Linked DNA regions of Coturnix japonica. The protein of the gene in region 1 interacts with the protein of each later gene in a pairwise test. Links are inferred from orthologs where the notes say so. Each region holds a gene or a part of one and is shown on either strand. Other genes may lie near its edges.

Region 1 (4,164 bases):
AGGACTTCCTCAGGGGAACTGTCAGTAGGTAAAGGAGGATCAAGACTGGCAGCTACAGGCCTTGTCAAACCTGTCTTGTCTCAGTAATGCTGTTCAGTTGCCACATCACTTGTACTGGGGCCTTACTTCCTTACTATGGTACGTGAGGCTGGGATATGAGCAGGGGATCTGGGATGCCACTTCACTGTGGAGGAAGTTTGATCTGTAGCAGTCCCTTAGTGCTGGAAGAAGGATGCCTCAGAGGCCTGAAGTGAATTGGTAGCAGCAGCATTTTCACTACTTCCTCCCATGTGGGGTTTCATCAGTGTCATCAGTCCAGGTGAAGTGAGGAAGGAAAGCACTTCATCTCCATGAAGAGGGGCAGAAAATGGCCATGAGTGCAGTGCTTCAGCTGCTGCTGACAGAGGCTTTGTCACTAAGCAAGTGGCAGCTGCAAGCTAGTAGGTTTTCTGCATGTCAGGACCTGGTCTGTTGTGCAGCACAAAGCTGCATAGGAAAGTGACGACTGTGGGACAACTCCTGGGGCCAGCTGAGTCAGATGGGTGCGAGGGAAGCAGTGCTGCCAGCCCCTTGGCAGGGCCATGTGGTTGCTTCTCATGGCTTGCTGAGTACAGCCAGCATCCTCAGGGCATCACTGCATGTAGGGCATGTGATGCAACTGGTAGGAGCTTGTGCAAAGTGCTGAGCTGGAGGTGATGCATATAGCACCATGGAAGGCAGCTTTTGGGCCAGCCCACACTTGAGAGGGCTTTTCCAGCTTTAATGACCCATCTCAGATTGCTTCACCACCACCTCCTTGCAGCGAGGGATGAGGTCTTTCCTTTGAACCTGCTGTGCTCCAGACTGAACCATGGCAGTTCTTGCAGTGTCCATACAGGACTAACCCTGCTTTGTTCCGCCCCGTGCAGTTGACAGGTGGTTCTATTACCAGAAGAACTGAAGGCTGAGGCTGTGTGCTGAGGAGCTGCTCCCTTTGCATCCCAGAGTCACCACATGCAGGAGTAGCCCAGAAGAACAGCACTGGTGACAAGGCACCTATGACTGACACCAATTAGCACCATCTAACCATGACCTGGTACATTGGCTCTGGTGGAGGTAGAAGATAGAACTTTAAATCAAAAGCTGCTGCTTGTGCGCGGTGTCCTGGTGTGTCTGTAACCATCTGCACATAAAGCCGTGCGGGTGCAGAGGTTCACCCAGTGCTGGATGTTAAAATAAAACTACTGAGCTCTGCGTGCTGTGCTCCTTCCTTTGCAATGAGGCGGATCTCGCTCTGCCCGGCGGTGGATGGTTGGAACTTCAGCAGGGACTTGAGCGGGATTCGAACCCGCGGTCATGTCGCGGTGTGGGCGGGCTCCGCTTGACGTCACGGCGCGGAGCCGACGTGGAGCCAGCGCGGCGGGGCGGAAGCGGGCGGGGCGCAGGAGCGACGCAGTTCCGGCGGGAGCTGGCGGCACAACGGGAGCGGGGTCCGTGCGGCCGGAGGTGGGAACCGGGAACCGGGCCGGGAATAGGGCGGGGATAGGGATAGAGCGGGGGGACAGCGGGGGAACGGGGGGATACGTGACTGATCCCGGCTGTGCCCGCAGGCGCTCCATCCTCAGCGATGTCGTTCATCTTCGAGTGGATCTACAACGGGTTCAGCAGCGTGCTGCAGTTCCTGGGTGAGGCCCCTCGTGCATTAGGCTTCATGTTTTCCCGTCCCTCTGGTTGCTGTGTGACCGTCCCGGTGTCAGCCGGCTCCATCGGGGACACGCGGCTGTTTGTTCCCTGCAGGGCTCTACAAGAAGTCTGGCAAACTTGTGTTCCTGGGCCTGGATAATGCGGGCAAAACCACACTGCTGCACATGCTCAAGGACGACCGGCTGGGCCAGCACGTCCCCACGCTGCACCCCAGTATGTCTGCACTGCGCCCAGGGGAACTGGTAGCTTGGCTTCAGATATAGAGGCCAAGAAGGGGTGTGGGTTAGTGGATAGCACACACTGCTCCTGGGGAGGGAGAGGGTTCACAACATCCCAACTTGGAACAGACCCATAGGGATCATTGAGCCCAACTCCTGGCTGTGCAATATGACATAAACACACATTAATAAGAGCACCCCTAAGTAATAGACAAGGAAGGAACAAATATCCTACACAAGGGCCTTGTGATGCTGGTGCACACCCCCAAGAACCATTAGCTGTAGTAATTGCTTTCTTTTCTTGTGTTCTTGCTTTCCAGCCTCAGAAGAGCTGACAATTGCTGGCATGACTTTCACTACTTTTGATCTGGGTGGACATGCTCAAGGTACGTGCCAGCTTACTGATTTCAGTTGTGTTCCCCGGCCACCTCTGGAAAGATTAGAAAGAGCTCCCCAAAAGAGATGCTGGAGAGTGATGGGAATTGGCCATATCCAACTGCTTGTAGCTTGATAGTGGTTGTGGAGTGTAACAATCAGGAAGATCAACACAGTGGAAAGGTAACACAACAGGTATAATGATAGAGGGACTAACACAATAGAAAGGTGTTATAAAGGAAGGAAAAAGGACTGCTCACCTGTCTCTGAAGATCCAGGCTCACAGGGGAAAACTCCACAAAGGAGGGATCTTCAGAAAGAGATCCTTCCCCAGCAGCATCCAGCCTTTAAAAGAGGACTGAGAGGTGCAGCCAGGCTCCACCCCTTATGTCCATGCAGCTGGATTGCCTTCACCTGTGCTCCCAGGGCTGACGGGACCTTTCCCCAGGTGCTCAATCAGTGGTTCAGGCCGTGACTCAACAGTTACCACACATGGAACTATTAGTGGAAGTGGCCTGGCTCTAGGAAACTGGTTGTTTCAGTGGCTAAATAATTGTGCTTTATTCTGGCAGCTTGGAAAAACAAAAAAAGCTGCCAGCTCACACTCTGCTGCTTGAAATAGTTTTAGCTGTGGAAGGTTCGTACGTCACAGCCTTATTCTTCTGAATAATCTCTGAATTTCTGTCTTTAGATTTCCTTTCTTGAAGTCCTAAGAAAAGTGTTTCTGTGTATTTTTCTGAATGCCCACGAGCAGGCTGACAGTCAGGGGCTGTTGTTGCAACAGGAACAGCACCCATCAGTATTGCGTAGACACACTCGCTGTGCACACGTGTTGGCTGCCTGCTGACAAGCGTCTGTCACACAGCAGTGATCTGATCACTTGTGAAAGTGCAGAGAGCATGAGCAGCACGGCGGGCTGTCACCAGCAGCCCCAGGAAGCAGTGGGGCTCCGCTGTGGGCACAGCACCCTGCTGTTCTCACAGGAGCTGTTGGTCTCTTGCCTTGCAGCCCGCCGGGTGTGGAAGAACTACCTGCCCGCCATCAATGGGATCGTCTTCCTGGTGGACTGTGCAGATCACTCCCGGCTTATGGAATCCAAAGTTGAGCTTAATGTAAACTTCTTGGTTTTGTTGGTTTTTTTTTTTTCCTTTCCCTGACACCTTTGACTGGCCACATTATAAATAATGTTCTTATTTGGTGGGATGGGACTTGAGGCAGCCTAGATGCTGTGGGGTGACTGTAGGCTCCTGAGCACACTTTAAGGAAGGGTCCTGCAAAGCCCCTTCTGGGAAGAACCCTCCCATGGGAGCGCTGTAGCACCAGGGATTAACCCTTGTGGGTCCCAGAGCTTACCAAAACGAAGCTTTCCTCAGATGACAGATGCTTGTGCTGCCTCTGTGTAACTTAAAGCTGTCTTGCACGCAGGCGCTAATGACAGATGAAACAATATCCAATGTGCCAATCCTTATCTTGGGCAACAAAATCGACAGACCCGAGGCCATCAGTGAGGAGAAACTGCGGGAGATCTTCGGGCTTTACGGACAGACCACGGGGAAGGTAGGGAGGCACGTGGTCTGGGTACTGCACAAGTACATGTTCCTTGCAGAGGGAGGTGCCCTGTGGAAGCCAAGTGGTTTGTTCCTGTGCATTTGTCCTAAACATTTGACTAGGCCGAACCTTTAATAACAGCGATGCCCTCAGGCGAGTTTTGAAACATCCAGAGTTGTGCAAAGCACAGTTGTCCTAGTTAGGAAATCAGGTGTTGTGCTGGAGTTTGACAGTGGTAGCACATTGCCAGACTCTTCTGGTTTCATTACTCCAAATTTTGTTCAGCTTACCACCTCTCCACGTTGTCACTGTATGCTTAGAGTCGATCAGAAGTAACAGC
Region 2 (4,006 bases), on another chromosome or scaffold:
GTACCAACTCTCAGTCATGAGCTGTGCAGATTACCATGTTGTTAGCACATTCTCTAGGAAATATAGAGGACGAGTACAGTCATTCATAGAAGGGACTGCTTTGCTGATCTGCATACTGACAGAGCCCTAGGGTCTTTTGCATCCAGACTAACGCTAGATCCAATGCTGAAACACAGCGGTACTACCTGTGGACACACACGTGACACATCGGCACTACAGACATCTGCTCGGAGCTCACAGCTGTGCTGGGGGGGGGGGATTGGAAGAGGCTCAAACAACAGCCCGCTCTGGGCAGCCACGGCACAGGGAGCGCACGTGCTGCTCTCGGAGCCCTTCTGGAGCTGAGACCCAGCCTTGGGGGTTTATGCAGCATTTCGTGTGGTGACTTTGGGATGGGGAGAGGCTTTCCCGGCGCCGTGCGTGCCTTCCTGATGCCAAAGCAGAGCGAGCGGTTCCCTGCGCGGCAGTCGGGTTGCCAGCAAGCAGAGCAGACGCCGTCCCGTGCCTGTGTTCCTCCCATTCATTTATTCGGGGAGAGGCGGGCAGTGGTCTGCGCGCAGCCGGGAGAGACGAGCGAGGATTGTGCCGGAGCGCGTACGAGGAGCGCAGCGGGAGCGAGTACCCAAACATGCGTGGTGCAGCCCTGCCCGCCTCGTAGTGCGGCGACGGAATGAGTCAGAGCCTCTTTGGTCTGAATGAAGTGGAAGGTACTCTCTACAAAGCAACTCGAGCATACGCCAAGGATCCGGAAAAATAAAACTAATTCAGAAAACGGGAGTGGGATGCGGGCTCCTGCGCTACGACGCTTTGAACGGCAAAACGCAATATGGCATCTTAAATAAAATCACCCTCCCCTGACTCTCACGGCGCTGCCTCCGAGCCGTCCCTGGCTCGGGTTTATTTCCTCCCTTAGCGACAGCCCGGCCGAGGCCGCCGCTCCCGCATCCTGGCCCCGCTCTGCTCCCCCCGCTGGGCAGCGCGTCCCTCCCGGTGCCCGCCGGTGCGTCCCTCAGCACAGCGGGCGTCGGGGCGAGGAACGGCCGGGCTGGGGGGGTAAAAAGGGGGGAGGAGGAGGAGGGCGGCTCGGCCCCGGGCGGCCTCCAAAGGGTTAAGGCCGGCGGCCCCGGCGGTGCTGAGCGTATGCAATAATCTGTGTGGCTCTCTTGGCCGCCCGCCAGAGTGCTGCCTTGCCTCCTCCTCCTCCTCCTCCTCCCCCCCGCCCCCCCCTTTCGCGTGAAGTAGGATCCTTGAGCTGTTGCAGAGGCAGCCAACTGCTCCATATTTGGCTTCTATTACACATTTACATACTGGAGAGCGGAGCGGCAGCGAGCGCTGTACTGCAGACATCATTTCTACTACAGCGCCGGAGCAGCCCGGAGCGTGTCCCCGCGGGGGAAGGAGCCCTCACTTACACACACATACACACGCACACATATACACACACACACACACATACACACCCGCAGACCCCCACCCCGGGAGGACGGCGGTGCTCGAGTCTCAGTCCGACCCCCCCCGCCAGCCCCACCTCCACTGACACTTTACAGTAAGTGCCTTTTTCTTCCTCCTCTGCTTTCTGCCCCTCCACCCCCCCCGCTCCTCCTCCTCCTCCCCCGGCTTCTCCCCTTGTTTGGGCTGCGGAGCCGCCCGCGGTTCCCGGCTGGAAAAACACGGGGCTGGGGGCGGCTCTGTGCGTGTATATGTGTGTATGTGTGTGTGTGTATATGTGTGTGTGTGTGTGTATATGTGTGTGCGGGGGGGCAGCGCTGCGGCCCGGCCTCAGGGCCCGGCCCGGGCGGGGGCCGCGACATGGCCGAGGGCAGCGGCCTGGGCCCGGGGCCGGGGCTCGCACGGCCCTCCCGCTCCTCCTCCTCCTCCTTCCTTCTCCCTCACCCCGCCGGCAGGGTGGACATTTTGCGAGCGGCGGCCTCGGGGTGTGTGTTTGTAGCCGGGTGTGTATGTGTAGATGTGTGTGTGTGTGTGTGTGTGTGTGTGGCGGTGCGGTGCGTGACGGGGTGGTGACACGGCCCCTCCGTGTGTGTGTGTGTGTGTGTGTGTGTGTGGGAGAGAGGAGGGGGGGGGCCGCGGCCGGGCCGCACGGCGCATGTAGTAGGGGCTGGGCGGCCGCTGAGGGTGAATGAAGCGAGCGGGCGGCGGAGGAGGCGGCGCTGGGACGGGGATGTGGCCGGCGGCCGCCCCGCGCCGCTGCTGTCGGGGCCCAGGCCGCCTGCGGACAACGCCCGGTACCGCCGCCGGGGGAGCGCGGGCGGGAGGGCCGCGGGGCAGCGCCACTTTAACCCCGGCCGGAGCTCGGGGTCGGGTCGGTGTCGTTCGCTATTACCCCACCCCCACCCCGGTAGGGACGCGGACGCCGCGATCCGCGAGCGCGATTCCTGGGGGTATCGAAGTCTCAATTAAACGCGCTGCGAAACGTCAGCGCCCGCTGTAATAGCGATAAGAACGCGACGGAGCGGGGAGCGCAGAGGAGGAATTACCGAGCGGCACTGACGGAGGAGCAAACAAGTCGGAAGCCGTTATATAATGCGGGGAGCGGCGGCTGGTTGGGCGCCGCTGACCGCACGGAGCGCAGCGCCGGGCCGAGCCGTGTGGGGGGACATCCCGCTCGGTGCCGGGCGCCGCGGGCTGTTTGTCCGTCCGTCCGTGCGTGCGGCGGCGCAATGAGGGCTTTTAATTTCGGTTTCGAGCCCTTCCGCGGCGGTGCGGGCCCGGGCCCTTCACGCAGCCCTTCGGAGACCGCCCGGCCCCGCTCCGCCGAACGATGAGAGAGCGCTGCTATGGCAACAGACAGCCCCGGCCGCTCAGGTGTGCGCGCCGTGAGCCCCGCCGCCTCCGTGCGGGGTGCGGGGACAGGGACGGGGGGAGGCACCGCACAGCGGCTCCGTCAGGGCGCTGCGGGAGCACGGAAACTTTGCCGCTGCTCCTCGCACCCAGCCCGGCTCCGTAGGGCCGGGAATTGTTGGTACCGCTGGGAACGTGAGCAAGGAGCTGTGCGCTGAGGGGCAGCCGGCTTCCTTTGCCCTCGGTGAACAAACCCGAGGGGGCATATCGTATAAACATCGCCACGCGGCTCGTTGCTGATATTCCGATTGATACCACTTTGCGTTTGTGCTCGTTAACATACAGCAGAGAGCGAAACTTTCCGCCCCGTACGGCGTGTTGCCGTGTTGGAGCGGGCAGTGCGGCTCCTGCCCTCCCGGAGCAGCTCATGCCGGCCCTTCCCCTCGTTGCCCGCACACGGGCGCAGGCGTCGCTTCGTGCAGGCACCGAATGTGGCGCTGAGTCGTAATGCCGCGGGCCTGGAGCGGCTCCAGGGGCTGCTTGAGAGCCGCGCACACCGTGTGTATATCTGGGGTAGCTCCGCTCGTTGGACTCCGGCCAGGCGCAGAGCAGAGTAGCAGAGCTCAGGCGCTGATCCGCTGCCTGCAGCCATCGTTTTCCCAATATCTTACCACGGCAAAAAGCAACGTGGGATTTTTTTTGCCCCCTGGAGGTGCCGCGTTAGCCACGTGCGTCCACGCTGCTACGGAGCGCAGCCCGGAGCACTTCGCATCTCGGCGGTGAGAAGCTGCCGGCACCGTGAAGCACACACACAATCACAGCATCACAGAATGACCCGGGTTGGAAGGGACCTCAAGGATCATGTAGTTCCAACCCCCTGCCTGGCAGGGCCACCAAACATACACATTTACTAGATCAGGAGCACCGGAGCTCCCCGGCAGCCCCTGGGCAGTGCACGGTGCCGGCAACTTCTCACCGCATCTCTTCTCCCTGCCCTGCTGTGATTTACTCGGAGAGGCTGAAGGAACCGGTCTTTTATTGTAAGAGACATTTACAAGAGGCCTGGAATTGCACTTAACGAACATTTTTATGTAATAGATCCAGTGGCCTAGTTTCATCTTAATTAAGAAAATAGACGTTAGATGCGCTCACCTGAAAAGCAACTGATTGAAACATTAGGATGCGAAAGTATTGGTCTCAGAGCAAA
Region 3 (4,144 bases), on another chromosome or scaffold:
AGATGGGGCAGGGAAAGACCCTCCTGGATGCGTGTTCAAGTTACCTCTGCTGACCAGTGCCTGTCCCCAGGAGCTCACAGCTCCTCCAAGGACCATGGGGTCCCCTCACTTACCAGTGCCAGTATAGACAAAGAGAGCGATCACCATGGCTGCTGTCACCACTGCTCCCCACGTCTTCACCTCTGGCTGCTTCATGCTGTTAAAGACGGGCACGCTGCTAACATGGCACTGCCAGAGACACAAAGAGAGTGAGGGGACACGATATGGGACGAGTCAGAGCAGCGGGGAGATGCACAAGATCCCGTGTGCTGCACGAAGCTACCTGGAATCCAAAGCAGATGGTGGGCATGGCGTTGAACACGGCCATCCAGGTGGAGGGGCTGGGGAGAGAAACGGCCACTGGTCAGAGCGGGGGCACATCCAAACTGTGTGGTCCTCTGCTGATCTGCCCCCAGCTCAGCCACCAGTTCCTCCCACCCGGGACAGAGCTTTTGCATGGATAAAGGTTTTCCTTTGGGCAGTGCCAAAAACTGATCTTAACTCTGCTCTGCCCTAAAATTCCCTGACCACAGTGAGTCCAGAAAGTCCCACACGGGGAAGGAAAAGAAGCCACACCAGCAAAGGAAAGAACCAAAAATCACCCAAAGGAGACCCCGACCTCTCCTTGCTGGGGTTTGATGCAGCTGTAGCAGAGCTAGAAGGGAATTGTTCTCCTCAAATCCCGTGCTGGAGCACTGGAGATCCAGATGAGACCATCAGCATTACGTCTCTTGCACACACACCTGGTAGGGATCTCCACGGGCACGAGCTCCTTGTCAGGCCAGATGTACTTGATGATGATGACTGCGGTGACATACCACGTGCCAATCACACTCAGAGAGCTGCAGGAGGGGACAGCAAGCTGTCAGCATCCAGCTCTGAGGATGTCTGAGGGTATCTCCACCTGCCATCCCAACCCCTCCAACCAGGATGATCCCTGCTCTTCTCCTCCCCCAAGGAAGACACCAGGTACCGTTACCCCTCTCCTCAGCCCACCCCCCCAGGCCTGCAGGGCTCTCGTACCCACCTGGCGTATTTCTGGAAGCCAATCTCTTTGGGGATGGAGAGGGGGAGGATGAGGAGGAAGGCGGTGATGCTGATGGTGAACTTGCGGTCCGTGTACCAGCGGCTGCTCCCTGCTTCCTCAGGCTCCGTCACCAGAGCAGCAATGACTGTGGGCAGAGATAGCTCAGAGAATCACAGAATCATTTAGGTTGGAAAAGACCACTAAGGTCCAACCCCAATCCATTCCAGCCCCAACCATGTTGGTCAGCGCCGCATCTACCCGAAGGGTCACACCCTTGGGGCACTCACTCTTGTCCTCTTGGTCTCCGATGATGATGAGGAAAGCAATGCAGGTGCCAAAGGTATAAACGGCGATGGCCACCTCGCACAGCACACCTGGCACCTTCCCACACACAGCCCACACCACCTCTTGGTAGGTGCGTTCATTGCTGGCCTGCGAGCAGTACGCCAGGATGACCAGCCCTCCGATGATGAAGATCAGCATGCACTGCGGGGAGGGAGAGATGGGAAGGGGACAAAGTGAGGCAGCAGCAAGCTAACGTCCCCAAAGCCACCCCAAAATGCAGACAGCATCACTACTGCCCCCCATGGGTCCTAACCTCTGCTTCACCCGGGGGGCTTCCACCCAACATCTCCTCCTCCCCACAGCCCTACAACCCCCCCAGTCTCTCCAGGCTTGGGACAAGGTCCGTCCCAGCCCATCTCTCACCATCTGCAGGGCAATGCCCGCAGCTACACCACCAGCCATGTTGAAGGCAGCCGGGAAGTTGAGCAGCCCGGCCCCGAGAGCAGCATTCACCACGATGAACACCGCGCCCAGCGCCGACGTGGCCCCGGCGCCGTTCCCTGGGCTCTCCTCGCTCTTCGGCACCGCTTCCACGCTGGGGCTCTGCAGGAGCCGGGCCCGTTCCCCGGCATCGTCGCTCCACTCCCAGTCCCTGTAGTCGGTGTTGATGCTCCCAGCGGCCTGAGCCATCCTCCCGCCGGCAGCGCCCGCTCCTCCCGCCGTGCGTCCCACTAGCGCTGCTGCACCGGGCTCAGCCGAGTGCCGCGGGGCAGCGTTGGCTCCATTGGGTTTGGCGACAGCAAACAGCCAGGCGCTGCTGTGCGACTCCTACAAAGGGCTGCAGGAGAACGCGAGGATCCTCCGGTACCGCTACGGCCCCCGATAGAGAGAGCCGGTGGGGAACGGCACACGGGTACTGCGGGAAGCGGAGCTCACCTCGGCCTGGCCGGCCGCACGGGGACGCGCATCGCTGCGGGCACGAGCCCCGCCGGGCTTCCTCAATCCCGGCCCCAATTCCTGCAAGCTCTGCACAAGCTGCCGCGCACGGGCTGCGGGGGAAAGGTCAGGGCCGGGCTCAGCGAGACCCGCAGCGACCACGGCAGCGCACGGCCGGGCACACAGCGCTGCGGGAACATGCGCCGGGCAGCCGCCCCGACCCACGCACCGCCACGCAGCACGGACGGAGCCACCCGCACGGCCCAGGGGAAGCTCCGGGCCTCCCGCCCGGGCCGCGCTCCGCCTTCGGGCTGTTTAACCCGGCGGCACGGCACGCAGCCCCCACGCACAGGTTACACCCCGAGGGTACCCCCAGCCCCCCCGGCCCAGGGACCCCCCGCTCACCCGGGCGGGGCACTGTCTCTGCGGTCCGGAGCCGGCTCCCACCGCCGTGCCCACGCGTGTCCCTCCCCCCGCCGGGGTCGCACCGCCCCGCCCCGCTCACCGCAACCGCGCCGGCGCCGCCCGCCCCCCGCCACGCCTCCCTGAGCGGCTCCGGTTGGATCGGAGCTCGGAGCGGAGCCATGAGGGCAGCGAGCGCCGCAGCCCGTGCGTGGGTCTGGGCAGCCCGAGCTGCGGGCAGCCAGCACGAGGAGAGGATGGTTTTTGCACGGCCAACGCTCAGACCGCCCTTGGGAGCCTTCCGTCCTGCATTTACCATCAGCAGCCCTTGGGATGGAGCGGATGAGGCAGATGTCACAGCATCCCCGGGTCAGGCTGGACACAGCCCAGCTCATCTGGGCTCACAGGGCTGATGTGACGGGGCTGCAGGGGGTGGGGAGACACACAGAGCCACAGAGAGCAGGTTTCAGAGGAAGTTCGTATTGAAGGACAAGAAATTGACCTCGGAGCATGGGAGCAGAGGTTGGGAGCAGTGACAGGAGCCTGCCACACACACACACACACACCAATGCCACTGTGAATGACACCTGACAGAGTCCCAGATGGAAACCAAGCCCACAGTGGAGCACACTGTAGTAGTGACAAGTCCTCAGAGCCTTTACGCTCCCTGTTGGATGGCAGCTGCAGCACTGCCCAGCGCTGGGCTAAGCCCGAGTCCAGCAGCAGAGGGTGGAGGAGGACAGAGCCTGCAGGCAGCAGGGACGGGCTGAGCCCGGCTCACCAGGTGAACCCAAACGTGCCCCCCCAGCCCACCCTGCTCCCTGCCTGCTGCTGTCAGTGAGCAGCCTGGTACAGCCCTCTTGTGGAGAGACAAGCACAGGGATGCCTTTGGTGTGTCCGCCGGTAGGATGCAGAGCAGTAACCTCTAACTCCCTCCAGTGCAGATGGGTGTTGGGGCTGATGGACAAAGGACAAGCAGCAGGAGAGAATGGCTATGGCGACAGGGAGCCAGCAATTATGTCCTTGCTCCACAACGCGGTGCAATTTGAACTAGAGGCTTCTATGACAACTCATCTACAAGATACATTCAGCAGCGGCATTAAGTGCTGTGGTTGGAAGCGTTTTCCTTCCTTCCTTCCTTCCTTCCCCTTCTTTGAGCCGTGGGGAAGGCCAGCAGCTCCAGAGCACGCCTCTGTCTTTACTTTGTGACTTGATGGATGGCGTGAGCCAGGTAGCCTACATTGCTCGATGCAACTCCTGCCACGGAGATTCGGCCATCCTTTGTCATATAGATGGAGAACTCCTTCGTCAGCCGCTCCACCTGGGATGAAAGAGCAGAGACCAAATTGAAGCCCTCTATTCTATTGCTGGAGTGCAGATTTACACAGCCTGCTAGAACCAAACACAAGCTGGGTGCCAGCAGACACGTCATCCAACCACCTGCAGAGCTCTGGG

The links. The genes of interacting proteins can lie anywhere in the genome.
Region 2: the proteins of SAR1A (region 1) and ATXN1 interact in binary tests that used the Homo sapiens proteins (3 or more experiments, as listed by UniProt). The link is inferred for Coturnix japonica from reciprocal best matches to the Homo sapiens genes SAR1A and ATXN1.
Region 3: the proteins of SAR1A (region 1) and SLC38A7 interact in binary tests that used the Homo sapiens proteins (3 or more experiments, as listed by UniProt). The link is inferred for Coturnix japonica from reciprocal best matches to the Homo sapiens genes SAR1A and SLC38A7.

Annotation. Positions count from the first base shown.
Region 1 is NC_029521.1:9,530,767-9,534,930, forward strand, and holds the start of SAR1A (GTP-binding protein SAR1a), read left to right. Parts: upstream 1-1,364; 5' UTR 1,365-1,485; intron 1,486-1,589; 5' UTR 1,590-1,606; coding exon 1,607-1,664; intron 1,665-1,776; coding exon 1,777-1,896; intron 1,897-2,221; coding exon 2,222-2,287; intron 2,288-3,284; coding exon 3,285-3,388; intron 3,389-3,701; coding exon 3,702-3,833; intron 3,834-4,164. Other genes in the region: PPA1 (inorganic pyrophosphatase), read left to right, coding at 909-940. UniProt on the Homo sapiens protein: Small GTPase that cycles between an active GTP-bound and an inactive GDP-bound state and mainly functions in vesicle-mediated endoplasmic reticulum (ER) to Golgi transport.
Region 2 is NC_029517.1:67,238,935-67,242,940, forward strand, and holds the start of ATXN1 (ataxin-1), read left to right. Parts: upstream 1-1,206; 5' UTR 1,207-1,546; intron 1,547-2,076; exon of another isoform or gene 2,077-2,320; intron 2,321-2,351; exon of another isoform or gene 2,352-2,823; intron 2,824-4,006. UniProt on the Homo sapiens protein: Chromatin-binding factor that repress Notch signaling in the absence of Notch intracellular domain by acting as a CBF1 corepressor. Binds to the HEY promoter and might assist, along with NCOR2, RBPJ-mediated repression. Binds RNA in vitro.
Region 3 is NC_029526.1:1,143,885-1,148,028, reverse strand, and holds the start of SLC38A7 (putative sodium-coupled neutral amino acid transporter 7), read right to left. Parts: upstream 2,801-4,144; 5' UTR 2,693-2,800; intron 2,401-2,692; 5' UTR 2,288-2,400; intron 2,190-2,287; 5' UTR 2,042-2,189; coding exon 1,775-2,041; intron 1,553-1,774; coding exon 1,354-1,552; intron 1,212-1,353; coding exon 1,067-1,211; intron 882-1,066; coding exon 783-881; intron 381-782; coding exon 323-380; intron 229-322; coding exon 114-228; intron 1-113. Other genes in the region: GOT2 (aspartate aminotransferase, mitochondrial), read right to left, coding at 3,888-4,010. UniProt on the Homo sapiens protein: Symporter that selectively cotransports sodium ions and amino acids, such as L-glutamine and L-asparagine from the lysosome into the cytoplasm and may participates in mTORC1 activation. The transport activity requires an acidic lysosomal lumen.